Elephas maximus indicus: one gene and its partner. Each later gene encodes a partner of the first gene's protein in a complex. Links are inferred from orthologs where the notes say so. Each region holds a gene or a part of one and is shown on either strand. Other genes may lie near its edges. The genes, in order: GRB14 and INSR.

What was found.
Region 2: the proteins of GRB14 (region 1) and INSR are in contact, whole or in part, in a crystal structure (PDB 2AUH), measured with the Homo sapiens proteins. The link is inferred for Elephas maximus indicus from reciprocal best matches to the Homo sapiens genes GRB14 and INSR. Residues at the interface, in NP_004481.2 of Homo sapiens: Glu373, Asn374, Ser375, Leu376, Val377, Ala378, Met379, Asp380, Phe381, Ser382, Ser386, Val388, Ile389, Glu394, Val398, Ala399, Glu401, Glu402, Gly403, Leu404, Trp406, Arg407; in NP_000199.2 of Homo sapiens: Leu1065, Arg1066, Ile1069, Glu1070, Lys1112, Arg1116, Arg1163, Met1180, Arg1182, Tyr1190, Lys1192, Gly1193, Gly1194, Lys1195, Gly1196, Leu1197, Leu1198, Pro1199, Val1200, Trp1202, Ser1207, Leu1208, Lys1209, Asp1210, Gly1211, Gln1235, Asn1242, Glu1243, Leu1246.

Annotation. Positions count from the first base shown.
Region 1 is NC_064824.1:62,582,709-62,597,357, reverse strand, and holds the start of GRB14 (growth factor receptor-bound protein 14), read left to right. Parts: upstream 1-8,104; 5' UTR 8,105-8,284; coding exon 8,285-8,475; exon of another isoform or gene 8,476-8,593; intron 8,594-9,885; coding exon 9,886-10,018; intron 10,019-14,649. UniProt on the Homo sapiens protein: Adapter protein which modulates coupling of cell surface receptor kinases with specific signaling pathways. Binds to, and suppresses signals from, the activated insulin receptor (INSR). Potent inhibitor of insulin-stimulated MAPK3 phosphorylation.
Region 2 is NC_064821.1:11,902,429-11,917,606, reverse strand, and holds the start of INSR (insulin receptor), read left to right. Parts: upstream 1-8,075; 5' UTR 8,076-8,086; coding exon 8,087-8,186; intron 8,187-15,178. UniProt on the Homo sapiens protein: Receptor tyrosine kinase which mediates the pleiotropic actions of insulin.

The DNA of each region.
Region 1 (14,649 bases):
GATAAGAAAAGACATTAATAAAATAGACCACAAACAGACAACAAGGTTATTCTTGAAAAACTTCAAAAAATTGATAAACTCTTGTGAATATAATAAAGAAAAAAAGACACAAATAACAAATGTCAGGAATAAAGAACGGGGAACACAATAAATCTGTCGAGTATTAAAAAGCTAAGAGAAAATTATGAAAAACTTTCTGCTAAAAGTTTTTTAAAATTTAGATGAAAGGGACAAATTCCTAGAAAACAATATTTGTTAAAATTAACAGTAGAAGAAATAAAAATTCAGAATAGTCCTATAACTATAAAGATATTGAGTAATTTATTAAAAAGATTCCCACAAAGAAAACCTCAGTGCCAGATGGATTTTCAAGTAAACTTTATCAGCCATCAAGGAAGAAGTGCCATCAGTATTATATAAACCCTTCAAGGAAAGAAAGAATACTCCCCATCCCTAACATGGCTAGCATAACCCTACACCAACACTCCATAAGAATATTATAAGAAAAATTAAAGGCAAATCTCATTCATGAACCAAAAACCAAAAACCAAACCCACTGCTGTTGAGTCGATTCCGACTTATAGCGACCCTATAGGACTGAGTAGAACTGCCCCATAGAGCTTCCAAGGAGCCCCCGGCAGATTAGAATCGCCGACCTTTTGGTTAGCAGCCTTACTGCTGCTAAGCACTACACCACCAGGGTTTCCCATTCATGAACATAGGTGCAAAAATTATGAACACAATATCAACAAACTGATTAGAAATATATAAAATAAACTGAGTAAGGTTTAGTCCATAAATGTAAGTTGAGTTTTCCTTTTTAACATATTGACATAATTCCTTACTTTAATAGAATGAAGGAGGAAAACTATACAATAAACTCAGTAGAGGCAGAAAAGCTGTAAAATAATATTCAATATCCATTTGTGATAAAAATTATTACCTAATAAGGAAAATCAGGGAACCTCTCCTCTATAATAAATGTATGACAGTATTATATTTAATGGTAAAATGTTGAAAATCATCCGTTTGGTATCTGGAGTAAGACTAGCATTCCTGCTACTGAGCTTAGATCCAACATTGTACTCAAGGTCCTAGGCAGCATGGTAAGGCCACGAAAGAACGTAAAAGGTGGGATTCCAAAACCAAATTCACTGCCCTTGAGCCGATTCTGACTCTCAGCAACCCTACCAAACAGAGTAGAACTGCTCCATAGGGTTTCCAAGGCTGTAAATCTTTATGAAACTGACTGCCACATCTTTCTCCCACTGAGTGACTGGTGGGTTCAAGCTGCCAACCTTTTGGTTGGCAGCTGAGTGCTTTAACTACTGCACCACCAGGGCCCTTAAAAGAAAGAAACAAATAAAACTGTCATTTTTCACAAATAATATGGTTGCGTATATAAAAATATAAAAATATTTACAGGTAAAATATTAAAATTAATATATGAAAGCAATTACGTAGACAAAAAGGTATCCGAAACAATGTTAAATTATCAAATATCTAAGAACATGTCTTAGATTAACACAGTGGCTGCAACAATGGGCTCATATGTAGCAACGATTGTAAGGATGGCATCGGACTGGGCAGGGGAGTGTTTTGTTCTGTTGTACATAGGGTCGATCTGAGTCGGAACTGACTCAATGGCGCCTATCAACAAAAACAAGAAGAATATGTCTAAGAAAAGATGTGCAAAATGTCTGCGGAAAACCATAAAACATCATTGTGACAAATTAAGATACAAACAAGTGGAAGGACGTAGCAGCTGTACGGATAGGGAGTGTTATTATTTCAAAATACTACTTTTCCCCAAATGGATTAATAGATTCAATACCACTCAATCAAAACCCTAGCAGGTCTTTGTAGAACTTGAAATGCTAATTCTAAACTCAATAAAACAATCTTGAAGAAGAAGGACAAAATAAAAAGGCTTGTTCTACTGAGTATTATGAATTGTCATAAATCATAGTAATTAGGGCAATGTGATATTGGCATAAGCATCAGTAAATAAATTAATGGTCTAGAAGAGAGGGCCCAGGACAGACCCATGGATAGATGAACAATTGAATTATGACAAAGGAGGCACTGCAAAGTTGTGAGGAAAGAGTGATTCTTTCCATGAACGCTGCTAGCACAATTATCTGCTTATATGAAAAATAACTAAAACAATCTGTTTCACACAATAAGAAAATAAATAAATCCTAGGTAGATCATAGATTTAAATGTGAAAGGCAAGCCATAAATTTCTTGAACATATGAGGAAAGACTTCTAAGCAGGATTGTCTTAGTCATCCGGTGCTGCTATAATAGAAATACAAGTGAAAGGCTTTAACAAAGGTAAGTTTATTTCCTCATAGCAAAGTAGGCTAAAAGTCTAAATTCAGGGCAGGGGAAGGCTTTCTCTCTGTCGGCGTTCCCAAGAATGTTCCCCTGGACCAGGAGCTTCACTGCGCAAGCACCCTGGGTCCAAAGGACGCCCTCTGCTCCTGTCACTGCTTTCTTAGTGGGATGAGGTCCCCCTGTCTCTCTGCTGGCTTCTCTCTTTTATATCTGAAGAGATTGCCTCAAAACATGATTCAGTCTTATAGATTGAGTCCTGTCTCACTTACACACCTGCCACCCATCCTCCATCATTAACATCGTAGAGGCAGGATTTACAACGCAGGAAAATCACACAATACTGGGAACCATGGCACAGCCAAACTGATAACACATTTTTGGGGGGACAGAATTCAATCCATGACAAGAATGTTAAAAAAAAAAAAAAATCATAAAAAGCTAAATTTGACTACCTTACAATTAAGAACATCTGTTTATCAAAAGATACCATTAAGAATTTGAAAAAAGCAAGCCACAAATTGGGAGAAGATATGCATAAAATTTACCAGTTGGAATCGACTTGATGGCAACAGGTTTTTTTTTTTTATAACCAGCAAAGAATTAGTAACCAGAATATAAAAAGAACTCCTAAAAAGAAAAACAATCCACCATAAAAAGGGACAGGAGACTTGAGTTGGTACTTATGGAAATTGTTCAATCTCATTAGCATTAGGGAAGATCATATTTTACAATGAGACATGCCATACATTCATCAGAAAATCTAATGCGAAAATTTGAGTAATATACTGATTTCCAATAATGTGAAGAAGTGCAGACATTTATGCATTGCCGGTGGCAGTGGAAACTGGCAGTATCTACTAGTGTTGAGAGCCAGTGAAAAAGAGGAAGATCCTCAATGAGATGGATTGACAAGGTGGCTGCAACAACGGGCTCAAACATAACAATTATGAGTTTGGTGCAGGACTTGTCAGTGTTTTGTTCTGTTGCACGTAGGGTAGCTATGAGTCGGAACTGACTCGATGGCACCTGACAACAGCAATACTAAAGTTGAACATACACATACCATGACATCACAATGCCTCTCTAGTACATTCCTTACAGAAATGCATGCATATGTGCACCAAGAGATGCATACAAGAATGTTCCTTGCAGCATTGTTTATAATAGTAAGAAGTTGAAAACAGTCCAGATGACTATATACAGTAGAATGGGTAGATTGTGGTATTTGCATATAATAGAAGAATGAAAGCTACTTAGAAAAGCTTGGGAGAATATCACAAGTACAATGTAAAGGGAACAAAGTTGAGCACAAAAGGGTGCATCGTGTCTGATTCCATTTATATAAAGGTAAAATCCAGACAAAGGAATCTATTGTGTTTAGGGATAGGTACTTAGATGGCTAAACTATCAATAAAAATAAGGACTATGAAACTCTGGATTGGCGTAGGGGTATGAGAGGTGCTTTATTTCATCACCTGACATCAGTGCGTTTGCCATATATCTTTGTTTTTTGAACATTTTTCTGTGTGCGTTATCTTTCCCAATATTAAGGGTTAAGAAGTTTAATTCGATAAGCAGAGGGAGGGATGAAGGAGGGCACATTTTCCATAAGGGGTGGGAAATGCTGAGATCTCTGAATGAGGAGATAGGAAAGGGAGCTGCTAATGGGTCCAAGGTGGGGCAGGGGCCAGGAAACAGCTTCCTTCTCGATTTTAGAGGCTCAAGTCAAAAGGAAATGACAGCCATTCAGAGGAGGACCCACACTTTGGCACCAAGATATCTGCCTTCTTATAGTTTCAGAAATCCTTGCCAGTTGTGGGGAAAGAAATCTTTTTAAACTTCTCCTTTGAAAGAAAAATGCCTCTGTTTTCTCTTAGGCTGTAGTAGGTCTGACAGTGTTTGGCACCTTTTATTACTGTACAGTTCTTTATTTAGAATCAATTCTTGTAAACCTCTTGGATACGAATGCTAGTTCTTTTGTTTCAAAATTGTGAATGAGCTAATTCTAATAATTCTTGGTACAGATCCTCAAGGTATTCCTGGGAGTAAATTTATTACTTAACACCAGTCTACAAGATACAACTATTTAGGTCTGCATTACTTAGAGACCCATTCTTTTTCCTTTTTTCCTCCCTGGTGACTGCAGGGTTTATAATTTTTACCCATGGGGTTAGAGGAGGAGTATAAAGCATGCACATGGATACCCCTTGGACTTTCTCTAATGGGGAGAAAAGAATTTGAATGCCTGAAGAGAAGAGACACAATTGAGATATGATTCCAACCAATGAATATTCTTTCTTGAGGTTAAAAAATTACCCTGGGAAGTGGAGCAGGATACATCTTGTGGGATGGTAAATTTCCAGTGATTCTAAAGATACATGCAGTTTCCTTCTATCCTTTCTCCAATAAAAGAGAGAGCCTACTCTGTGTGTGTGTGTGTGTGTGTGTGTGTGAAACAGAGAGAGGAAGAGAGGGAGAGCGGGGGAGAGAGAGAGAGAGAGACAGACAGAAAATGTGTTGTCAGGGATGGAAACGGAACCAGTTTTAGCTATTGATTCACCCTGATATTAGAATGCTCGAACGATATTATTCTTAGAGAAAACTGGCTGTTTGCAGAAGCTTTTCGGATGAAAATAGGAATTATGATAATGATTAGAGTTTCTTTCTTTTTTTGTTTCTTTAGTTCCAGTTATTTGTAAATACATTAAAAAAAAAAACAAAAAAACCGAGTTGCCTTCGACTGATTCTGACTCATGGTAACCTCATGTGTATCAGAGTAGAACTGTGCTCCATAGGGTTGTCAATGGCTGATTTTCAGAAGTAGATCACCTGGCGTTTCTTCCACGGTGTTTCTGGGTGGATTTGAGCCTCCAACTTGTGGTTACCAACAGAGTTTGCACCACCCAGAGACCTCATTTTTATTTTGCTGGAATGACCTCAATATATCCGTGTAGTTTTACATGGAAAAGCTCAATACCATCAGTTAGAACAAGGCCAGGGGCCTACTGTGGATTGGATCATCAATTACTCATATGCAAGTTCAAGTTGAAACTGAAGAAAATTAGAACAAATCCACAAGAGCCAAAGTACAACCTACAGTATATCCCACCTGAATTTAGAGACCATCTTAAGAACAGATTTGACCTGCTGAACACTAATGACCAAAGACCAGACAAGCTGTGGAATGACATCAAAGACATCATCCATGAAGAAAATAAGAGGTCATTAAAAAGACAGGAGAGAAAGAAAAGACCTAAATACATGTCAGAAAAGACTCTGAAACTTGCTCTTGAATGTTGAGTAGCTAAAGCAAAAGGAAAAAAAATGATGAAGTAAAAGAGCTGAACAGAAGATTTCAAAGGGTGGCTCGAGAAAACAAAGTATTATGATGACATGTGCAAAGACCTGGAGATAGAAAACCAAAACGGAAGAACACGCTCTGCATTTCTTAAGCTGAAAGAACTAAAGAAAAAATTCAAGCCTTGAGTTGCAATACTGAAGGATTCTATGGGGAAAATACTAAACGACCCAGGAAGCATCAAAAGAAGCTGGAAGGAATACACAGAGGCACTATACCAAAGAATTGGTCAACGTTCAACATTTCAGGAGGTAACACGATTAGGAACTGATGATACTGAAGGAAGAAGTCCAAGCTGCACTGAAAAAAAAAAAAAAAGCACTGAAGGCACCGGCAAAAAACAAGGCTTTGGAAATTGACAGAACACCAATTGAGATGTTTCAACAAACAGATGCAGCACTTCACTCATCTATGCCAAGAAATTTGGAAGACAGCTACCTGGCCAACCGACTAGAAGAGATCCATATTTACACCTATTTCCAAGAAAGGCAGTCCAATTGAATTTGGAAATTATCAAACAATATCATTAATATCACACACAAAAAAATCACAAGCAACCAATATTTTGCTGAAGATCATTCAAAAAAGGCTGCTGCAGTATATCAACGGGGAACTGCCAGAAATTCAGGCTGGATTCAGAAGAGGACGCCTTTGAATTATGGCGTTGATGAAGAATACTGAATATAACATGGACTGCCAAAAGAATGAACAAATCTGTCTTGGAAGAAGTACAATCAGAATGCTCCTTAGAAGCAAGGATGGTGAGACTATGTCTCACATACTTTGGACATGTTATCAGAACGGATCAGTCCCTGGAGAAGGACATCATGCTCTGTAAAAGTAGAGGGTCAGAGAAAAAGGGGAAGACTCTCAACGAGATGGACTGACACAGTGGCTTCAACAATTGGCTTAAGCGCAGCAACTTTTGTGAGCATGTTGCAGGACCAGGGAATGTTTCGTTCTGTTGTGCATAGGATTGGTACTCAGAATCGACTGGACGGCACCTAACAACAGCTTTTACACTATTTAAAATTCACACATAGAATCCTGGCCATAAATCAGGGAATTGGAGATGAGTGACATCTTCGCCTGGCACACAGTGTCAGTAAGTGTTAGCTAACAGCATTATCCACCACCTTGGCAGCTCGAGTCCACCAGTTGCTCCTTGGAAACCCTATGGGGCACTTCTACTCTGTCCTATAGGGTTATTGAGTTGTAATCCACTGGATGGCAATGGGCTGGTGTGGGTTTAGGCATTAGCAGTGTTTGGTGCCATGGTGGGAGGATGCAATAATATGGTGGGGGTGGGGAGTTGCAGGTTTCTTCAGGAGGCAGTTGTTTGCCTTTCCCTTGGCAGAGATTGTGGAGGTTAAGAAAACCTGGTGAAGCAGATGCCAGGGACATATGTTACCTAATTTGGTCAAAGAACAAAGAGCGTGATTAACATTTGGAAATTCTCAACTGCCCACTGGGATGGGGGCACTGACTGGAAGAGCAGAAACAGAGTATCATTTTGAATTTCAGAGCAGGTAGTATTACTGCCTCTTAACGGAACAGCATAGTGGAATCTTGGCTGTACCAGTTACTAGTGCTGTGTGGTGTAAGGTACTCCATGGCTTTGAGCCCGTTTCCTGATCTGTAAAATAATCTAATTTATAAGGTAAAAAAGGTAAACGTCTAATTTATAGGGCTATTGTGAGGGTGGAATAGAACAGAGTAGGAAGATGAAAATTAAAGTAAAAACTAATAATTTTCCTAATTCCAAAGACACTCCCAGGTTTTACTCATGCTTTACCAAGAATTCTCAAAACCTCAGTACAGTGTTCTAAAATGATTGTACTCTCTGCTCCCTCCCCGCCCCCATTTTGGCTACGGAGTGGATGGAAAGAAGAAGCACGTGTGGGGAGGACGGGGGCAAATTTAGCCCCCAGGACCCCTGGCCTCCTGGTACAGTGGGGCCTGTCATGGCGGCCCAGCGAAATCTTAGGTGATTTCAGATAGCAGAGCTGGAAGAATGGAAGGGTCTGGGGGTCGGCGTGGCCCAGACCCCTGCCCTGCCTGCGGTCTGCAAAGCAAGCTCAAAGGGAGCACAGGCTCAGCTTAGCTTGATCCCCGGCTCCAGCTGCACGGGGCTCGTCCTGACTTTGGGCTCAGCCGGGTGCTCCGGCGCCCACCTGGGGAGGCGGCGACCCGGCCTCCGGGGTCGGCAGCTGGAGGCCCCGGCGCGGGCCCCTCGGGACCGACGCCAGTGCAGCCACGCGCCCCGGGCCACGCGCGGGGCCGGCCGGGCGCTCGCGCACTCTCCTCCTCACCCCCTCCGCGCCTCGCCCGGCCGCCGGCGGCCCCCACCCACCGGCCGCTCCTCCCCTCTCCCCACCCTCCTCCTCCGCCCCCTCCCCTCCCCCGCCGCCTCGCAGACTGCTCGGCCGCGCGTCTGAGCCGCCCGGGCCCGGAGCGCCCGCGGCGAGGCCACCGCACCTGCCGAGCGCTCTGGCTGCCTGAGCTGCACCTCACTGCCCGCCGCTCGACTCCCTTCTCCCCCCGCGCCGGGTCTCCCATGAGGTCCGAGCCCCTCAGCCGGCGACAATGACTACTTCCCTGCAAGATGGGCAGAGCGCCGCGGGCAGGGCGGCTGCTCAGGATTCGCCGCTGGCGGTCCAGGTGTGCGGCGCTGGCCAGGGGAGGGGCGACGCCCGCGACCTGGCGCCAGCCCCGTGGTTGCATGCGCGGGCTCTCCTGCCCCCTCCGGATGGGACCCGCGGCTGTGCTGCAGACAGGTAGGCAGCCCTCCGAGGGCGCGGGGGAGTGTCCTGGGTTGGCAGCCGGCAAAGGGGTAGGAGGCGGTCCTAGGGGGTGAGCCATGTGCACAGTGCTGGGCCAAGTTTGTGAAAGTGTCTGAAGACAATTCCCTTTGAGCTGGCTCCTGCCGGATCAGCAGGACATTGCGATCTCACAGCGCCTTATAAATAGCATCACCGTTTCATTGAGAGCTCTTGGTCTCTCTTGCTTCTGCCTATCGGTGTGAATTAGGAGGCCAAGCTCCGGGTTGACTACCCCCTTTCCTTCTTCGTAGCCCTGAATTTTTTTTTTTAATTCTTTTTATTTTGTATTTTTTAAATAAAAATCGTAGCATGAATGAGTTCACCTCCCACATAGAGTCTTACAGCGACCTAGGGGAAGCAAAACGCTGGATTGACATTTGAGCAGCCTTGCTGTTCAGCAGCAAAGAATAGAGGCTTTAAAAGGTTTTCCCAATCTCCACAGCACTAAGTGCCTTTAGAGATCACAGTTTTGCACATACTTTAGGAAAGAAAAAAGACTTCAACAATTCAAAAATCTGCAGTCCTTTATATTCATAATTTAAATGGAACTTTTTTACCCCATATTTTCAAAGTGCTCCAACTTCACTAAAGTTAAAATTACTCTCCAGTGGACATTTATACTAGCAAGTTCTATTAGCTTACCTCCTCAAAAACACTACCTTGCTGTTTAGTACCTACAACCAAACCAAACCCAGTGCTGTTAAGTCGATTCCAACTCATAGCGACCCTATAGGACAGAGTAGAACTAACTGCCCCATAGAGTTTCCAAGGAGCGCCTGGTGGATTCGAGCTGCCGACCCTTTGGTTAGCAGCCTTAGCACTTAACCACTACGCCACCAGGGTTTCCTTAATACCTATAAGCACTTGAAAAATCAACAGACTGTGTGTGGGCAACATTGTGAATGAAATTTGAAGTGAGATGAACCATAGCTATAAATAAATCATAACTTCCAAAAGTGATTAATAAAATATCAGAGGAAAGAATTCACTAAATAAAACTTAAAGACTGTTGTCATGGCTGCATAGCAGTATTCCTCAGAATGATTTGTTTGCATTTATAATTGCACAGTTAATGTGTTTACAATTTAGGAAAATTATTGAATGTACTGGAAATGGAGCTTCCATATCTGGTGATTTTTTTTTTTAAAGGCAAAAAAAAAAAAGATAGCAATACTATAGAAGATTTTTTGTATCAATTAGCATATTTTAATTCGACCCAAAGAAAGTACTTTGCAGACCTTTTCTGTATAGTTTATATAACATTAGCGCTATACGTGTTGGCCTTAACACACTTTTTAATCCTGACAGTGATTATATTTTACATTCTGTTTTATGTAAATTACATCCTATGTTCTCTTGGTGTAGGAGAAAAAAGAAAGAACTTGATGTTCTGGAAATGCCATCTATTCCAAACCCTTTTCCTGAGCTGTGCTGTTCTCCATTTACATCTGTTTTGTCAGCAGGCCTGTTTCCCAAAGTAAATTCAAGGAAAAAACAGGTACGCATTTTGAAATTTTCTCATTCAAAAATCTTAGGAGTGTTAAAATCATACAGTCTTTAACAGTATTCACAAAGGATTAGTATGGCTTATGTTAAATCACTGTGTTGACTAGGACAGTTCTTTGGTGTTATTTTCCTCGATTTTCACATCCGTGTAATAAAACTCGCTGTTGAGTCGATTCCGACTCATAGTACAGAGTAGAGGACAGAGTAGAACCACTCCATGGGCTTTCCAAGGAGTGGCTGGTGGATTCCAACTGTTGACCTTTTGGTTAGCGGCCATAGCTCTTAACCACTGAGCCACCACGGCAGTGTTAAAATTTAACTTTTAGGATTCGGGGATGGGTTAAAAGAGAGAATATATATAAAATGGAATGCCTGGGAATTATTATTATTCACAGGGTAGGTGGGAGCATTATACATGATAAGAGACCACCAATTTTTAATTCAGCAATTGAAGAGGGGGTGGTGTTAGCGGGTGAGAAGGGGATTGGCTGATTCCTTTAATACCTTCACGTTAGGGTATCCACAGAAACAAAAACCGATAGATACACATAGAGAGAATAAAAGGAGAAAGAGAGAGAAAAAGATTGAAATTTATTTTAAGGAATTGGCTCATATGGTTGTGGGGGCTGGCAAATTCAAAATCCATAGGCCAGGCAACAGGCTGGATATTCTAGAAGTCTCTTGTCTGTAATTGGAGACCAGATGGTGGGCTAGAAACTCTGTCAGGATATCTATGTTAACAGTCTTGAGGCAGAATTTCTTCTCTAGGAAACCTCGGTTTTTGCTCTTAAGGCCTTCGACTGATTGGATGAGGCCCATGCACATTATCATGGGTAATCTCCTTTACTTAGAGTCAACTGCTCATAAATATTAATTATCTCAATAAAATACCTGCCTGGCAGCATCTAGATTAGTGTTTGACCAAACAGCTGGACACCATAGCCTAGCCATGTTGACACATAAAATCAACGATCCTAATCTTCGTTAATCTTTGACATTCTCAACCTAAGCCAACCTCACTTACTAAAGGAAAGTGATATAGTGAATCTGTAGCAATAAGTAATTGGAGTTTAGGACTGGGCATGTCTCCTTTATTTCAGTGAATTCCTCAGTTTGGAGATTTCTGACTACAAGAAAGCAAATGACTTGTAAATGATAGAAGATGGGCTTTATTTTTATGATTTCAGGTTTCTAGTTTGGACACTGACTTAACCAATTTAGATTTCTAAGGAAAAAAGGATCAAACAACTATGAGGAGCTGCATCATAATTATATATTTTGAGGAAAAAAAAAAAAGTGTATCCTAGAACGATCCATGTCTCAGTACGTGTTTTCTCAGCTTTGAGCTAGCAAAACAAAGAGGGACTTCACTAGGCGTATGCACCTTGTTGTTATCGAAGCAATGAATTTAAACAGCCAGATGCCTGTAGTGAGAAGGGGGTGATGAACACAGTGGAAAGACAGTGGATCATCTCCCTCTCCTTTACATCTATTGTTCTGTTTCTTTTTTCCGCAGCCTTACTACCTTCCTTGTGTGAGTTCATAGATGTGTGTTTATATTTTTAGAAATGAAGGAAATGCCCTAGGGAAAAATGAGTTCTTGATAATAAGCAATAATAGAGGCAGTAGGGAAGCATCACGTGGAATGTTGTGTTTTGAGGGAAATCTAATGTAGCAAGGTGTATAGACTATTTTGGGGGGATGTTGGTTGAAGTCTAATTGATGCATATGTTTTTGGATAAGGGTTGGAGAAAGGAGGAGTAAATATCCCAAGAACAGAGGTATGTTCTGCATCAGAGTCTGCAGTGGTGGAGGCAAGCCCTTAAATGGGTGGGACTATGATTTTGGATAGAGGTGTGGACAATGGGGAGATTTGCTCGAGAGCTTTGTTATCAGGGTGAGGTTAAGAGTTAGATCCCAAGGACCAATCAGCCGGGGTAAAACATCCAAGCTCTTTGAGAGTTTGACTCTGAGTTAGGGTATGAGATGGGAATAGAATGATAGATTTGACTGTGTGCAGTGGTGTTGGAGAAAATCAGTTCTCGATTGTCCATGTGACCCAGAATAGGCAAAGGAAATGTCAGATAAGGACACAATAGTTATTTGGGGAATTTAATAGATTATTCCATGTTTATGAAGGGCGTGCTATGTTCCTTGCACCATCCTAGGTGCTGAGGCATTGAGCTAACCAAAGATGCCATCTGAGGGGTTTTTACCCAAAGCAGGGCTTTGATTTGGAGTTGGGTTGGGGGAAAATGATGAAGGGGGAAAGAAGAGTAGGAGGAGAGAGGTCTAGGCTGACTCTCACTTTAATTTGGTGAATGGACACTGTGACAATGTCATGTCCAAGTGACTTTTCATGGGGCAGAGCTTGTTTTGAGATGAGACAGAGAATAGGTGTTGGTATGCACGTGTCAGTAGAGGAAGAAAATAGAGAAAGAGAGTGGATGAGGTGTCAGGGTAAGGCAGGGTAACTTCTAAGGGTAGAGAATCTCCTTAGAGTAACACATCTTATCTTGGGGAGTGGCAACATGTCTTCAGGTCATGTTAAGCAAATGGGTAAAATGGGAAAAGCATGATATTATTGCCTCCGAACAGGTCTCCTGCTCTGGCCTCGTGTTCTGGTTCCACAGTGACCTTCTCAAGAGAGCGGTGCTCCCACACAGCCAGCCTTACTGTTCCATGAGCGGCAAGCTCTGTCTTGCCTCCTGGGGACCAATCCTGGAGGAGTGTTTCTAACCTTAGAAGGCCTGTTCCTGCTGAATCCTTCCTTGGCCTAAGGGCTGGAGTCTCTATGAAGAGAAGGGTGTTCCAAAGTTGGAGAGGAGGAAGTTTTAAAATTCTTTTATGTTTCCTTTAACCCGCACCTTGAGATTCCATTGAGAACTGATCCTTTTGTTCTTACTCCTTTGTACATACACATTCGCTTCTTTGGGCCCAGTGAGGCTTTGATAATTGACAACTCTGTCAGTAATTTCCCCAAGCCTAGTATCTTTTTGACACAGATTATCTTCTTAAAAGATGGTATTTCTGGCCAAATTATCCTGGCCTTCAGCTGAGATGACTGTATGTAATGGGTTCTACTGAATATTACTTAAGGTTAAAACATTATAGGAGAAGATGTCTCTTTTCTTCATATTCTCGCTTTCATTTTTGTTCGTATATCCATTCCATTCGTTTTAGCAATTCTTTCTTTGCTCTAGAAAAAGTGAGGAATGGCATTTGTTATTTACAAGTAAGTTACCAGAAAGTTTGAAAGACTGCTGACTAGAAATGCTAAATTTCACCTGGCCTTTTAAAACCACAGTCAAAAATAATTTTATAGGCCATAAATATTTTTTTACAATTGGAGATGGCTACATAATGCATGAGTGGTAAAGTGCATTGAAGCCACAAATAGGATATGCTTTAGCTCTTTTGGTAAATAAAATGCCCAAGCATACAATACCGTAGGCTTTCAGTATTTTTATTTTAAAATAAGAGCTAGAGTGAGATAGAAACTAGATTCTTTTCTCTCAATTCTTCTTTTTATAATGCTGGCCAGATCTATTTTTTAGAAATAGCTCTTTGTGTTTACCAATAAAGCAGATTTAAAGTATACCTTTCTTCGTATAGATGGTTCAGAAAAGTTACTTATAATTTCAGTTTTGTATTTCAAGTGACTTACCTTGAATTTAATGAATCTTGATTCTTTTTTTTTTTTTCTAATTTCTGATTCAAATTAATCAGGAAATAATTTCTTAGCAATGAACTGTGAAAACCTGTTATTTGAAGAATGGATAAGAGTAAGAGACCTTTATCCATTGTGGCAGATTTAGTTCTTATATCAAGCTCATCTACCCGTAGGTAATTTTTGTGCTTGGCAAACGCTTGTGCAGTAAATGCTTCCCAAGACTATGTGGTATATCTAATTCAGAATAAACTCTCTGAAGGTTTTAAAGATAAAGAACTTACGAAGAACTGGGCATTGTGGAATGTTTGAGCTACAAGAGATCTCTGAGATCATGTAGTCTAATAGTCTTCTTTTACAGATGAGTAAATTGAGTTTAGGAGTCTCTGGGTAGCATGAACAGTGAAATACTCAGCTACCAACCCAAAGGCTAGTGGTTTGAACTTACCAAGAGGTGCCTTGTAAGAAAGGCTTGGTAATCTGCTTTGAGAGGCCATAGCCATGAAAGCCCTGTGGAGCAGTTCTACTCTGCAACTCATGGGGTTGCCATGAGTGGAATTAATTGCACAGCAACTGGTTTGGTTTTGATTTTGGTTAAATTTGGTCAAAGAAATGCTATGTGGCTGACGGAAAGGTACAATTTCAAAAGAAACTGAGAACCATGAGAGTAGTACAGGTAGTAAACTTACGTTAGTGTTGTTAGTTACAACTCTGCCTGTAATACAGGAAGAGCAGGGTGACATTTGTTAATGTTCATCTCAGGACCTGGAGTTTCTTATTCTTTTTCCTTCCTCAGATATAACTGTCACTTCGTGTTTTTTCTTCTAGTTTTCTTCTCCTAAAATTGATATGGAAATATGTTAAATAATTGGTTATAACATTCAGTAGGATTTATTTGTATTATTAATGACTAGTTTTTATATATAGTTTACGGCCCATAGGATGTTGTTATC
Region 2 (15,178 bases), on another chromosome or scaffold:
GAGCCCTGGAGCCCTGGTGGCACAGTGGTTAAGAGCTCAGCTGCTAACCAAAAGGTCAGCAGTTTGAATCCACCAGTCACTCCTTGGAAGCATTATGGGGCAGTTCTACTCTGTCCTGTAGGGTCTGTCCTATAGGAGTTGGAATCAGCTTGCCAGTAATGGATTTTGTTTTCTTTTTTTTTTTGGTAATGAGCCTTGGTGGCACAGTGGTTAAAGTGTTCAGTTGCTAACCGAACGATCAGCCATTCAAACCCACCAGCCACTCCTTGGGAAAAAAGAGCTAGCGATCTCTGGAAAACCCATTGCTGTCGAGTTGATTCCGACTCAAAGCGACGCTATAGGATAGGATAGAACTGCCCCATAGGGTTTCTGAGGCTGAAATCTTTACGAAAGCAGACTGCCATAAGCGCTCACCCACGACGCTGCCACCAGGGCTCCTCCACAAACATTACAGCCTAGAAAGCCCTATGGTCAGCTCTACTCTGTCAAACAGGGTTGCCATGAGTCGGAATCAACTCAAAGACAATGGGTTTGGTTGAAGTTTGGCCTGGCTGCTTCAGAAAGACAAAGAACACCTTAATTTCTCAGGCTATTTTCAAAAAGCCACACAGAGGTCTTTGTCCCACAGGTGATGAAAAATTTCTGGAACTAGACTGAGGCGATGGTTGCACAACACTGTGAACGTACTAAATGCCACTGAATCGCGTACTCTAAAATGGTTCAAAGGGAAAATTTCACGTGATGTGTACTTTAGCACAATAAAAATAAAAGAGCAACGGAGCCCTTGCCTTCTCTTCATACCCTTTGCTTGTTACCTGAGACAGTCCGTTTCTTTTTCCCCTTATCAGCTGGAAAACACTATATATGATACAGAGACTCCATTGTGTCGTATAAAATATTTTCCCATCACTGTATATTGCTTATATTTTAATTTTGGTAATTTCACTTTCAGTATTGCATTAGTTTCTTGTCTGTTGCCCTTGAGTCGATTCTGACTCATAGAGACCCTATAGGGCAGAGTAGAACTGCCCCACGACATTTCCAAGGAGTGGCTGGAGGATTCGAAGTACTGACCTCTTAGTTAGCAGCCAAGCTCTTTACCACTGAGTCACCAGGGCTCCATTAGTTTCCTAGAGCTGCCTTAACAAATTACCACAAACTGAGCAGCTTAAAACAAGGAAATGTATAGTCTCACAGTTCTGGGGGCTACCAGTTTGAATTCAAGGTGTCAGCAGGGCTGCACTTTCTCCAAAGGTCTTTCCTCGTTTCTTCCAGTTCCTGGTAGCCCCAGGCGTTCCTGTGCTTGTGGCAGTAGGGTTGTTTTCAGTTGCCTTCAAGTAGCTCAGACTCACGGTAATCCCTGTTGCAGGATAGAACTGCTCCGTAGGGTTTTCCCACCACCTGTCAGTTTGTCATATTGTGGTAGCTGTGTGTTGCTAGAAGCTATGCCACCGGTATTCCAAATACCATCAGGGTCACCCGTGGTGGACAGGTTTCAGCAGAGCTTCCAGACTAAGACAGACTAGGAAGAAAGGCCTGGCAATCTACTTCTAAAAAAAAATTAGCCAGTGAAAACCTTATGAATAGCAGTGGAGCATCGTCTGATATAGTGTTTAAAGTGTTAAAAAGCAAAGCTGTGACTTGCAGGACTAAGGTGCACCTGACCCAAAGCCATGGTGTTTTCAATTGCCTCATATGCACGCAAAAGCTGGGCAATGAAAAAGCAAGACTGAAGAAGAATTGATGCATTTGAATTATGGTGCTGGTGAAGAATATTGAATATACCACGGACTTCCAGAAGAATGAAGAAATCTGTCTTGGAACAAGTATAACCAGAATGCCCCTTAGAAGCAAGGATGGTGAGACTTTGTCTCATTTTGGACATGCTATCAGGACGGGCCAGTCCCTGAAGAAGCACAACATGCTTGGTGAAGTAGAGGGTTAATGAAAAAGAGGAAGACCCTCAACGAGATGGATTGACACAGTGGCTGCGACAACGGGCTCAAACAGCAACTGTTGTGAGGCTGGAGCAGCACTGGGCATTGTTGCATTCTGTTGTACGTAGGGTCGCTATGAGTCAGAACCGACTTGACTGCACTTAACAACAACAACGGCAATGCCATGGACTGCCAGAAGAACAAACAAATTTGTCTCGAAACAAGTACAACCAGGATGTTCGTTAGCAGTGAGGATGGTGAGACTTTGTCTCACTTTGAACATGCTATAAGAAGGGACCAATCCCTAGAGAAGGACATCATGGAAAAAACCCAAACCCACTGCCATCGAGTCGATTCCGACTCATAGTGACCGTATAGGACAGAGTAGAACTGCCCCATAGGGTTTCCAAGGAGCAGTTGGTGGATTCGAGCTGCCAATATTTGGTTAGTGGCCAAAGGCTTAACCACTGCGCCACCAGGGTCCCGGTAAAGTAGAGGGTCAGTGAAAAAGAGGAGGAGATGGATTGACACAGTGGCTCCAACGATGGGCTCAAACGTGGCAATGGTTGTGAAGACAGTGCAGGACCCAGCAACGTTTGGTTCTGTTGTACGTACGGTTGTGATGAGCTGGAACTGACTCAATGGCGCCTAATAGCAACGACAACAAAGGGTTTTCAAGGCTGGGACCTTTCTGAAGCAGATCACGACGTCTTTCTCCTGAGGCACCTCTGGGTGGAGTTGAACTGCCAACCTTTCTGCTAGTAGCCATCCAGGGACTTGGCTTGTGGTAGTATCCCCCTAATTTCCGCCACCTTTGTCACATGTCACTTGACGTTCTCACCCCCGTCTCCCTCAGTGCCCCTGTTTTCTCTCCTTATAAGAACACCAGTCATAAAGATTAGGGTCCGCCCTAATGACCTTGGGAACCCTGGTAGTGTAGTGGTTAAGGGCTACAGCTGCTAACCAAAAGGTCAGCAGTTCGAGTCTACCAGGCGCGCTCCTCGGGAACCCTATGGGGCAGTTCTACTCTGTCGTCTAGGGTTGCCATGAGTCGGAACTGACCTGACGGCACCTAACAACAACAGATATTTCCTTTGGAAGATTAATACCCAGTTCTGTATCCTCCTAGTTTTTTTTCTGTGCTTTCAATTTTTTAAACGCTTTTTCGGTCTTTAAAAAAATATTTTTGTTGTTGTTAAAAATATACAGAGCAGACCACACACCAATTCCAGAATGTCTACATGCACAGTTTGTGACATGGATTACATTCTTTAAGTTGCACGACCATTCTCATGCTCCTTTTCCCAATTGTTCCTCCCCGTTAATATAAGCTCACTGTTCTCCTCCATCCCTTCCCTGGCCCCTCCCCCGCCCAAGCTTCCTATCTAAACTTTCCAGTTGCTGTTGTCAATTTGGTCCCACCTACATAGTTCTTTAAAAGAGTACAACGTGTTCTGCATCCCACTTTGGTCAGTGGCATCTGGGATCTTAAAAACTAGCGAGCAGCCATCTAAGATGTATCAGTTGGTCCCAATCCACCTGGAGCAAAGCAGAATGAAGAACACCAAAGGCAAAAGGAAAATATGAGCCCAAGAGACAGAAAGGGCCACATAAACCACAGACTCCATCAGCCTGAGGCCAGAAGAACTAGATGGTACCTGGCTACCACCAATGACCACTCCTACAGGGAACACAACAGACAGTCCCTGATGGAGCAGGAGAAAAGTGGGGTGCAGAACTCAAATTCTAGTAAAAAGACCAGACTGAATGGTCTGACTGAGACTGGAGGAACCCCAAAAGACATGGACCCCGAACTCTGTGTTAGCCCAAAACTAAAACCATTCCCGAAGCCAACTCTTCAGACAAAGATTAGACTGGACTATAAGACATAAAGTGATATTCGTGAAGAGTGTGCTTCTTAATTCAAGTAGATACATAAGACTGAATGGGCAGCTCCTGTCCAGAGGCAAGATGAGAAAGCAGAAAGGGACAGGTTGAATAGACATGGGAAACCTGGGGTGGAAAGGCAGAGTGTGCTGTCACACTGTGGGGATGGCAACTAGGGTCACAAAACAACGTGTGTATAAATTTTTGTATGAGAAACTAACTTGATCTGTAAACTTTCACTTACGGCACAACTAAAAAAAAAAAGGTGCATTGCCAAAGCAGACTTTCTTTACTAATTCAGTGAAATATTGTTTGGTTTAAAGAAGACTTCAGGGGATATTTTTGGTGTAAGATTTAAGATGTAAAGATTATTGCAGGGCAATGGTTTTGGGGGTTCATGCAGTCTCTATGGCTTCAGAAAGTCTAGATTCCATAAGAATTTAAAGTTCTATTCTGCATTTCCCCCCATTTTGATCAGAATTCTTGTATAGAATCTTTGATCACAATGTTTGGTAAAGGTAGCCAGGCACCATTCAGTTCTCCTGGTTTCATGGCAAAGCAGGCAGTTGTTTATGGAGGCGATTAGCCACACATTCCATTTCCTCCCCTTATTCCTGACTCTCCTTCTTCCTTCTTCCCCTGTTGTTCCAGATGAAGAGAGAGCAATTGTTGTACCTTGGATGGCCGCTTGCAAGCTTTTAAGACCCCAGGTACTGTGCAACGAAATCAATGGGACAATCTCCCTAGGGATAAACACTTAAAAAAAAAGTTGTGATAAATATATTTGTAATAACACATTTGCCATTTCCACATTCTTCACATGTACAATTCAGTGACATTAAATATGTTTTCATGTTGTTAAACCACTGGCATGATCTGTTGTAAAATTTTTTCATCACCTCTGGTAGAAGCTGAATGTCCTCCAATATGCTTTAATTTTTAATTTAGCAAATTATATTTAAATGCATTTTTAGAATTTGTTTTTGAAATCCATTCGTTGAAGACTTTATAGATTTCCCTCTCCAATTACCATACGATTATCTTGGACCTTTCTAGTAACTCACAGTGTTGATAATGATTTTTCCCTTTCCCGCAGACTGGGAGATGCCTTTAGAAATAGTATATTAAAAATTGGAGTCTATTTCTAGGTTACCCCTTCTGATATATGAATTCAGCTGCCTATATTTGTGCTTATTTATATTCATTATAGCTTCATAAAGGAGCCCCAGTGGCTCAATGGTTAAATTCTCAGCTGCTAACAGAAAGGTTGGTGGTTTGAACCCACTCCGAGGCCCCACAGGAGAAAGACCTGGTGATCTGCTCCTGTAAAGATTATAGCTTAGAAAACCCTATGAGGCAGTTCTACTCTGTCGCATGGGGTTGCTATGAGTTGGAATCAACTCAGTGGCACCCTACAATAACAACATAGCTTTATAGGATTTTATTATCTGAAGAATGTTAGTGCCTTTCCCAGTTATTCTTCTTTTCCAGATGTTTCTTCCCTATTTTTACCTAATTATTCTTATAGACCAGTGGGTCTCAGCTGGAGGTTATTCTGCCCCGAGGGGACATTGGACAATGTTTGGAGACATTTTTATCACCACAACTGGGGTGAGGAGAGTGCTTCTGGTGTTTCATGGGTACAAGCCAGGGACGCTGCTAAACATCCTACAATGCACAGAACAGCCCCCTCCACAGAGAATAATCTGGTCCCAAATGTCTGTAATCTCAGTTGGAGTTGATTCAATGGCAAGTGTTTGATTTTTTTTTTAAAAGAAAGCATTATAGTTTTTTTTTTTTTTTTTAAATGGGTTGGAGCCATTGCTATTAAAATATTTCCTTGGTATTTTATTTTATTTCACTTTGCAGCTATGGTAATGGTCTGAAAAAATTTAGCTCTCTTAGACATGCTGATTTTTAAAAAAAGTAAGTAATATACGGTACATGGTGAAAAACAATTCAAACAGATTAAAAAAAAGTTACTGGTTTCTCGTATATTCTTTGAGAACCATTTCATGAATCCATAAATATCTTCCCCAATAATCAGCCATCGAAAACCCTATGGGGCACAGTTCTACCCTGACAGTCATGGGGTTGTCTTGAGTCTGAGTTGGCTGGATGGCAATTGGTCAGGGAGTCCTTCCTGACCACCCTCCCACCTCATCACACACACACACACACACACACACACACACAGAATTGTGTAATTAATGACCCTCTCCCCCACTAGGTTGTGAGCTCTACAAGGAAATAGAACATGTTTATTTTGCTGACTGTAATTCCCCGTTACTTATTGTTTAAGCTTCTTCCATTCAGCAAATATTTATTAACCAACAGTGTGTCAGGCAGCAGGAGTAACGAACCGGACTGACTGGGTTTCTGGTTCACAGGGAGGGGAGAAGATGTACTACAAGGTAAACAATAAAAAATAGGGATTCCAGGTAGTTTTAGGTGTGTTATTAAAATATCAGAGGAAAGGAACAAAGGACTCGGGGGTGGCATTTGCAAAGCCTGGTGAGCAAAGGTGTCATTGTAGCATAGAGGTGGAGTCAGCCACGGGAGGGCTTGCTGAAATGTTACAGACAGGGCTGATAGCCAGGTAAAGGCCCAGAGGGAGAAGAGAGTCAGGCCAGGGCCTGTCACACAAATAGTCGTTTAATAAAGGGGAGGAAGAATGAATGCCCAGGGCCTAGGATTGTGCTGGTCACTTTCCCAAGCTTTATTTCCTGTGTGCCTCCCCAGGCCTGCAGGTATTGTCAAAGAGGTGAGACCGACCTAGAAATGGTAAATCACTAGTCCAAGGCTACACAGAGAGTGAGGGTTGGGGTCCTGGATTTCTTATACAGAGGCCCCCTTGGCCCCTTCAGGAGGGTGACTGACTACTCACTGTCTAGCCCTATTCACAAATGGCATCACTGCGCATTCAGACACATATGAACTCCGTTGTTTTTGTTAGTTGGTGTGTGGAGTCAATTCCAACTCATGGTGACCCTATGTGTGCCAGAGTAGAACTGTGCTCCACAGGGCTTTCAAGGCTGTGACCGCCGGAAGTGGATCTCCAGGCCTTTCTTCCGAGGAACTTCTGGGTGGGTTTGAAGCGCCAACCATTTGGTTGGTAGTTCAGCGCTTAAGCGTTTACACCAGCCAGGACTCCTAGATGAACCCCAGGTCTGCATACTGAAAATCAGGCGTGTCCACCTACCCCCAGCCCAGGATCTCCAAGGGCCTGGTCTGTTCTGTCAGGATATTCCGAAACATTCTCCTAGACGCCATTTCTCCAACTACAACTACGAAGCGCGCGGCACACACAGGGCGCCGGGCATGTGACTGTCCCCAGAGGCCCGGCGTGGCTCCCGCCCCTAGACGGGGAGTCCAGGGCACCCCGACTCGGGGGAGGGGGAGATCGGAGTGGCTGGCGCGCTCTAGGCTGGGACTAGGGTGAGGTGAGTGAGGCGCTCCGCTCGTCTACAAAATTTAAGGACGTGCTCCAAACCCAAGTAACCAAGATAAATAATATCTAAATGCAGTATTAACAAAAAATTCCAACGAACAACAACAAAAAATGCACTATGAACAAAATACCGAAGTGCACAAGAAAGACAAAGATGTGTCTCGCTGGGGCGGCCAGGGCGGCCTCACGCTCCGGGACACGAGCCGCTGGCGCGGTCTGGGGAGCCCCGGGGGCCTCCAGAGCCCGGCCGGGCGGGGGGAGGGGGCGGGGCGGGATGGGGCGGGGCCTCCCTCCCTCCCCCCGCCCCCTCCCTCCCTCCGCCCCCCTCCACTCTGCCTGCCTCCCCGGCGCCGAGTCCCTTCCGAGGCGTGATCCGCGCCGCCTTTTCCCGCGGTCCGCGCGGGGCCCAGCTGACGGGCCGCGTTGTTTACGGGCCGAACAGCCTCGCGCCCGCCGCCCGCCAGCCGCCCGCCAGCCCAGGTGCCGCCGCCGCGCGCCCGTCAGTCCGTCCAAGTGTCCGTCTGTCGGTGCGTCCACCGCCTGCGGCCGAGGGCGCGCGGGACCGCCAGCCGGGAGCCGGGGCGCAGCGCGGGCTCCGGGCCCAGGGACCGCGAGCCGGGGCCGGGCCGCGCCGCTGTGTTGGTGGCGCCGAGGCCGCGCGCCCCTCCCGGGCCGTTGCTGGGGCCCTCCCGGGCGGAGGAGGAGGACGCGCGGCCACCGGCGCCTCCCGGGCGGGCGGCCGCTCGGAGCATGACCCTCGCGGTTGGGCGCCGCGCGCTCTGAGCTGCTGGGACCCCGCGCTCCCGCAGTCATGGGCTCCGGGGGCCAGCGGGGGGCGGCGGCCGCGCCGCTGCTGGTGGCCGTGGCCGCGCTGTTGGTGGGCGCCGCCGGCCACCTGTACCCTGGAGAAGGTGAGTCTGGGGCGCGGGGGTGGGCGGGGACATCGCGGCCGACGGCACCCCGCTGTTCAAATGAAGTCCCCGCTAGGGCGCGAGGGCCCGCCCGGGAGCGGGTGGCCCGGACGGTCGCGTCGACCTCGCGGGGGGCGGGAGGCCGCTGACCTTGGCCTTTGCCCGCTCGGGCTCGCGGCTCGGCTCCCCGCGCGCCTGCCCCGGGCCGAGGAACCTTGCCCCAGTGCCCGCCCCGCGGCGGGCGCCTCTCCTGAGTGCGCTCGGACCCACTCCTGCTCCTCCATCCCCACTCCCCCTTCCCCCGGTCCCGACGCGCTCCCGAGGCGGGGCACGCGTCCTCGCTGGGTCGCCTCTGGGAAGTCGGATCCTAAGGTTCGGGCGGCCTCCGACAGCCCAATGCCTGCCTGGCGTGCACACACGGTTGGATGCAACGCAGATAGTGCCGGACTTGGGGGGGGGGGCGGTGTTCTTTGGGGTTCCCGCTGCTGGGTGGCGCTGCCCCTGGGTGGGGAATTGTAGACCCCTCGTCGACTCCCAAGAAGCCCTGGTCGTGCAGTGGTTAAGCGCTCCCTGGTAACCAGAAAGGTTGGCGGTTTGAACCCACCAGCCTCTCCGCGGGAGAAAGATGTGGCCGTCTGCTTCGGTAGAGATTACAGCCTTGTAAACCCTATGGGGCAGTTCTACTCTGTCCTATAGGGTCGCTATGAGTTGAAATCAATTCAAGGGCACATAACAACAACTCCGATTTCCTTGGGATTAAGCTGGTGACCACCACTACGGTCCGCGTTTACACATTTGTGTCCTGCTTCCAGATATCCTGAGCCAAACTCTAGCACCGTGGCAACACCTGCAGCCGTTGTAGTAACAACTAGGGGTGGCATACATCATGGTTGTTATAAATAGTATCACTGTATGCCTGGGGTTGGTCCATCTTATTTCTCTGGACCCTCACAGTGGCCCCTGGAGGCTGATAGTGCTATTCCCCCATTTCACAGAGGCGTAACCTGAGGCTCAGATAGCTCACAGAACTCACCTGCTCCAAAGTCAGTGCCAGAGCTGGGACTTGAACCTCTGTCAGTGGGATTCCAGGTCAAGGCTCTGGTTTGCAATCCCTCGCCCTAGGTCCCCTAAACCCTTCCCACCCCTCAGCTTCACCCTTCATGAGGGTTCTTTCCCTGTTAGCCCTGGGAGTGTCTCTGGCCTTAATGAGCCTCACACTCCCCCTGGCCCCATGGGCTGCCCTAAACCCCTACCCCAGCATCCTCCTTGCTCTGCTTGTGGGCCGGGACTGATATAATTGGGATTTCCCACCATGGGGTCTAAAGCTCTGCTTTAAACATATCTGTTGGGTTACTTCTTCACCTATCTCCATAAAAGGAAATAGATCATGGGTGGGGAAGGGGTTAGAGAGGGAAGTCATAGAAGCTCCTGAGTTCCCTGATGTAAACGAGGTAGATGAGAAAGCATAAGCTTTGAAGGTAACAAACCAAGTTTGCTGAGTGGCTGTGCCACTTGGTTTCTCCGAGACCCTGAGTACCTGGTAGGCATCAGGTCTACCAGGTAGACTGCGAAGAGTCGCAGTTGGTTTGGGTTCTCATTAGGAAAACCCAAGACGAGTGATTAGACCTGTGCCCGGCTTCTTGTATGTGCACGAGTATGAGTGTGTACTTCTGCCTGGGCACGCTTGTGTGTGTGTGTGGCTCCTCGCGCTTCTGTTCCATCTAGCTTTGGTAATTAATTGTGGATCTGTGCCTGGGCTTCCAGGCCTCAGATTTACTGCTGCTTTCTGTATTTACGGAAACCCTGGTGGTGTAGTGGTTAAGTGCTACGGCTGCTAACCAAAGGGACGCCAATTCGAATCCGCCAGGCGCTCCTTGGAAACTCTATGGGGCAGTTCTACTCTGTCCCATAGGGTCGCTATGAGTCGGAATCAACTCGATGGCACTGGGTTTGGTTTTTGGGTTTTTCTGTATTTACAGCTTCCATGAGGTCAGGGGCTTTTTGTCTGTTTTGTTCACTGTTAACATTTCCAGAGCCTAGAACAGTGCCTTGCACATGGCTGTGGTTGTTAGGTGCTGTCCAATCCATTTTAACTCATAGCGACCCCGTGTGAAAGAGTAGAACTGCCCTGTAGGGTTTTCTAGGCTGTAATCTTTACCGGAGTAGAGTGCCAAATCTCTTCTCCTGTGGAGCTGCTGGGTGGCTTCAAACCATCAACCTTTCCGTTAGCAGTTGAGTGCTTAACCGTTACACCAGCAGGACTCCTTTGGCATACAGTAGGTGTTCAGTAAATGTTTCTTTTTGAATGGGGCTAGGAACAGAGCCTCCGAAGGAGCTGCTTGTTCGCCAGATAATACTTAACAGTAAGAGCGGACACTTAGCAGGCGCTGTTCTCTGTGCTGTGCGTATATAACCTGAGTTCATCCTCGGGAAGTTGTTGTTGTTGTTGTTGTTAGTTGCCTTCCATTCGATTTCGACTCATGGTGACTCCATGTGTGCAGAGTAGAACTGCTCCACAGGATTTTCAAGGCTGTGACATTTTGGAAGCAGATCGCCAGACCTGTCTTCTGTGGTACCTCTGAGTGGTTTTGAACTGTCAACCTTTTGGCTGCTAGTTGTAGGGCCTATTATTATCCCTTTTTGCAGATGAGGGGCGCCCTGGTGGTGCAGTGGTAAAGAGCTCCACTGCCAACCAAAAGGTCGGCAGTTCAAATCCACCAGCTGCTCCTTGGAAACTCTATCAGGCAGTTCTTCTCCGTCCTATAGGGTCGCTATGAGTTGGAATGGACTTGGCGGGAACGGGTTTGCTCTTGGCTTAGTTTTGCAGATAAAGACAGCTGCCCAGAGCTCCAGCAGGTGGCACAGTCGAGATTAGAACCCAGAGCGCTAATTTCTTAAGCAAAGATCATTCTTTCAGTAACTAATTCCTGCCATGTGCCTAAGCCTCCCCCAGCCCTACCCTGGGGTAATGTTTAACAGGATTCTATCAAATAGATGAGATGTGATGCCCCTTGAAGACGTGGGGAGTAGGGGGAGGACCATCTTTCCAGATCATTAATCTCTGTTGTTGTTGTATGCTGTCAAGTAGAGTCCTACTCGTAGCGACCCCATATGACAGAGTTAGAACTTCCCTGTCGGGTTTTGTTTCCCAGGCTATAATCTTTATGGGAGCAGATTGCCAGGTCATTCTCCCACGGAGCTGCTGGCAGGCTCAAACCGCTGACTTTTCAGTTAGCAGCTGAGCGCTTAACCATTGCACCACCAGGGCTCCTTTATTAATCCCTAACGTCAGCCAATACGGCATTTTGGGCGAGGTGGGGAGGAGGGAAATAAATGCCATTTTTAAGGACCGAAGAACTGTTTCTTGGAGATGTTGTATGGGGCTGTGCCACCCCCACCTGTGGTCCCGTGGAGTCTTCATTGCTGGGTGGACCTGGGCTAGGGCTGCCTTCTCTGTTTCCATTTAGATTGGGTGGTTCTGGCCCCAGGTTCCTTACCGGCATTGCAAAGTCAGAGAACTAAAGCAGTGCGGGGTTAATGAAAATCGGACCCCACAGGTTTCCTGGGTTCAAGTTAGTTGGCCAATTGAGGCATAAGATGCTTTCTTGTTTCCAGACACTCCTGATTTCTTAGGTACCCCTGATTCTCAGGTACCCCTCATTTCTCAGACACTCCTGATTTCTCGAGGGACAGCCACGAGATGTTTCTCTGGTGTGTTTGGTACAAAAGATCCCCTAGTCCCCAGGCAGAACTGCCATCTGCTCAGTCACCTCCCTGCGATGATTCCAGACCTCTGCTTCTCTCCTGGAGACTGCATCTGGCCCCTGCCCCACTCTGTTATCCCCCTGGGGTCCCCACCTGATCCCACTTCCATTCCGCTGTCAAATCAACCCCTGACCCCATGTATAACCTGGTCCTGTGCCATTGCCATGATCATTTGGAGTTTGGACCATTGTGATCCATGAGATTTTTACTGGCTGATTTTCAGAAGTAGGTTGCCAGGCCTTTCTTCCTGGTCTTAGTCTGGAAGCTCTTCTGAAACCTGTTCAGCCTCATAGTAGCAAGCAAGTCTCCCTTGACATACGGGTGGTAGCTGTACATGAGGTGCATTGGCCAGAAATCGAACCCGGGTCTGTCACATGGAGGGTGAGAATTCTGCCACTGAACCACCAACGTTGTTGTCATTAGGTGCCATTGCATCTACTCTGACTCCTAGTGACCCCATGTGTTCTACAGAGTAAAACTGCCCCATAGGATTTCCTAGGCTGTAATCTTAATGGAAGCAGATCGAAGGTCTTTCTCACGTGGGTTTGAACCCCCAACCTGTAGGTTAGCAGTTGAGTGCTTAACTGTTCATGCCATCAGGGCTTTTGGCAAAACCACCACCGTCCCCTTCCTGTTTTATGAGAGCAGGACTTCTTACCCTTGGCACCCTTGACGTTTGGGTCTGGATCATTCTCTGCAGTGGTGGTGGCGTGGCATCCTGTGTACTGTAGGGTGTCGAGCAGAATCCCTGGTCTCCACCCATTAGATGCCAGTTGAGAACCACTGCAGCAGAATTGGCCTCATCTTTGTCTAAGACGCTTCTCCGCCTGGGCCCCTGCTTGCTCCCCTCTCTCCATCCAAGGAGCTCCTTCCACCCACAAGCCTTTCTTGTTTCAGCCTTTAAACATTCAATGCTCCCCAACGCCACTCCCCACCACCTGGCCTGGGTTCCAAGCCTGGGCCCCCACCCACCTCGCTTGCTCCCCTTTCACCCACTGCTCTGCCCACAGCGTCTGGCTTGTGTCTCTACCGCCCTGCTGTGGCTCTCCACAAAGGTAATCCTTCACCTCCCAGTTACGTCTTCTGTGGCCTCACCTCACTTGACCCCTCTGGGTTTGACACTGCCCACTCCCTGCCGCTAGAAGGTGACTTGTCACCTGTTTCTCATTTCTCACCTTTGCTGCTTCTTCTACCTGTGCTTAGAAGCTGGCCCTCATGTCTCGTGGCTCCCTGGATCTTGTTGTATGAACTGCTGTCGAGTTGGTCCCTGGCTCCGTGCGTTACAGAGTAGGCCTGCTTCCTGGGGTTCTCTCGGCTGTGATCTTTAATGGAAGCAGTTTGTTAGGCCTTTCTTCTGTGGAGCCACTGGGTAGATTTGAACCACCAGCCTTTAGTTAGCAGCTGATTGCAAGCAGCTCGTGCCAGCCACACTCGCAGGACTCTATTATGACCCTCTCTAAGCCTAGATTTTTATTTACTTAGATTTTTATTTTATTTTTATTTACTGGTCTGACTCCATCTAGAATAGATGGCCCTCAGGGGCCAAATCCTGCCCACCGCCTGCTTTTGTAAATAAAGTTTTATTGGCACACAGCCATGCTCATTCATGTACAGACTTTAAAAAAAAAATGTTATTATTATGCTTTAAGTGAAAGTTTACAGCTCAAGTTAGTTTCTCATACAAAAATTTATACACACATTGTTATGTGATCCTAGTTGCTCTCTCTATAATGTGACAGCACACTCCTCCTTTCCACCCTGTATTTCCTGTGTCTGTCCAATGAGCTCCTTTCCCTTTCTGCCTTCTCATCTGCCTTCAGACAGGAGCTGCCCGTTTAGTCTCATGTATCTACTTGAACTAAGAAGCACATTCTTCATGAGTATCTTTTTATGTCTTATAGTCCAGTCTATTCTTTGTCTGAAGAGTTGGCTTCAGGAATGGTTTTTTTTCTGAGTTAACAGTAAATCCAGGGGCCATGTCTTCCAGGGTTCCTCCAGTCTCAGACAGACCATTGAGTCTGGTCTTTTTTACTAGAATTTGAGTTCTGCACCCCACTTTTCTCCTGTTCTATTGTGGACTCTCTTGTGTTCCCTATCAGGGCGGTCATTGGTGGTAGCCGGGCACCATCTAGTTCTTCTGGTCTCAGGCTGATGGAGTCTTTGGTTTATGTGGCCCTTTCTGTCTCTTGGACTCATATTTTCCTTGTGTCTTTGGTGTTCTTCATTCTTCTTTGCTCCAGGTGGGTCGGGACCAATTGATGATGCATCTCAGATGGCCACTTGCTAGCTTTTAAGACCCCAGACGCCACGTACCAAAGTGGGATGCGCAACATTTACTTAATAAGCTTTATCATGCCAGTTGACCTAGACGTCCCCTGAAACCATGGTCCCCAGATGCCCTCTCCCTCCACTCTGCCCCTTAAAGTGTTTGGTTGTATTCAGGAGACTTCTTAGCTTTTGGTTTAGTCCAGTTGTTCTGACTTCCTCTGTATCGTGTGTTGTGCAGGCTGTCCTTGATGGCTGCTTTTGCTCTACAAAGGCAGAGTTGAGTAGTTTCGACAGAGAAAGCATGGCCTGCAAATCCCAAAATATTTACTCTTTTGGCCCTTTACAGACAAAATTTGCTGATCCCAGACCTGAAATGAACTTCACGGAGGTTCATTCTTCGTGGCGTGCTTGTGTGGAGTATCTCGGTGGTGCAAAGAGTTAAAGAGCCAGGCTGCTAATAAAAGGTTGGAGGTTCGAGTCCACTGAGAGGTGCCTTGGAAGAAAGGCCTGGCAATGTACTTCTGAAAAATTAGTCATTGAAAACCCTACGGAGCACAGTTCTACTCTGACACACATGGGGTTGCTGTGAGGTGGAGTCGACTTGATGGCAACTGTCTTTTTTTTTTTTTCTCTTTTCATTATGGAGAAAATATTCACAACAAAACACACACCAACTCAGCAGTTTCTACGTGTACAATTCACTGACGTTGATTACATTCTTCAGGTTGTACAACCATTGTTGTTATCGTTTACTAAATTGTTCCACCACCATTAACACCATCATGCCTCCTAAGCAAAAACTTCCTTTCCCCCCTCCTACCCCTGGTAGCCATGGATTATCTTTGGTTTCTAGATATTTGCTTATGTTTCATGTAAGTGAGATCATATAGTATCTGCCCTTTTGTGACTGACTCCTTTCACTCAGCATGATGTTTTCAAGGTTCACCTGTGTTGTGGCA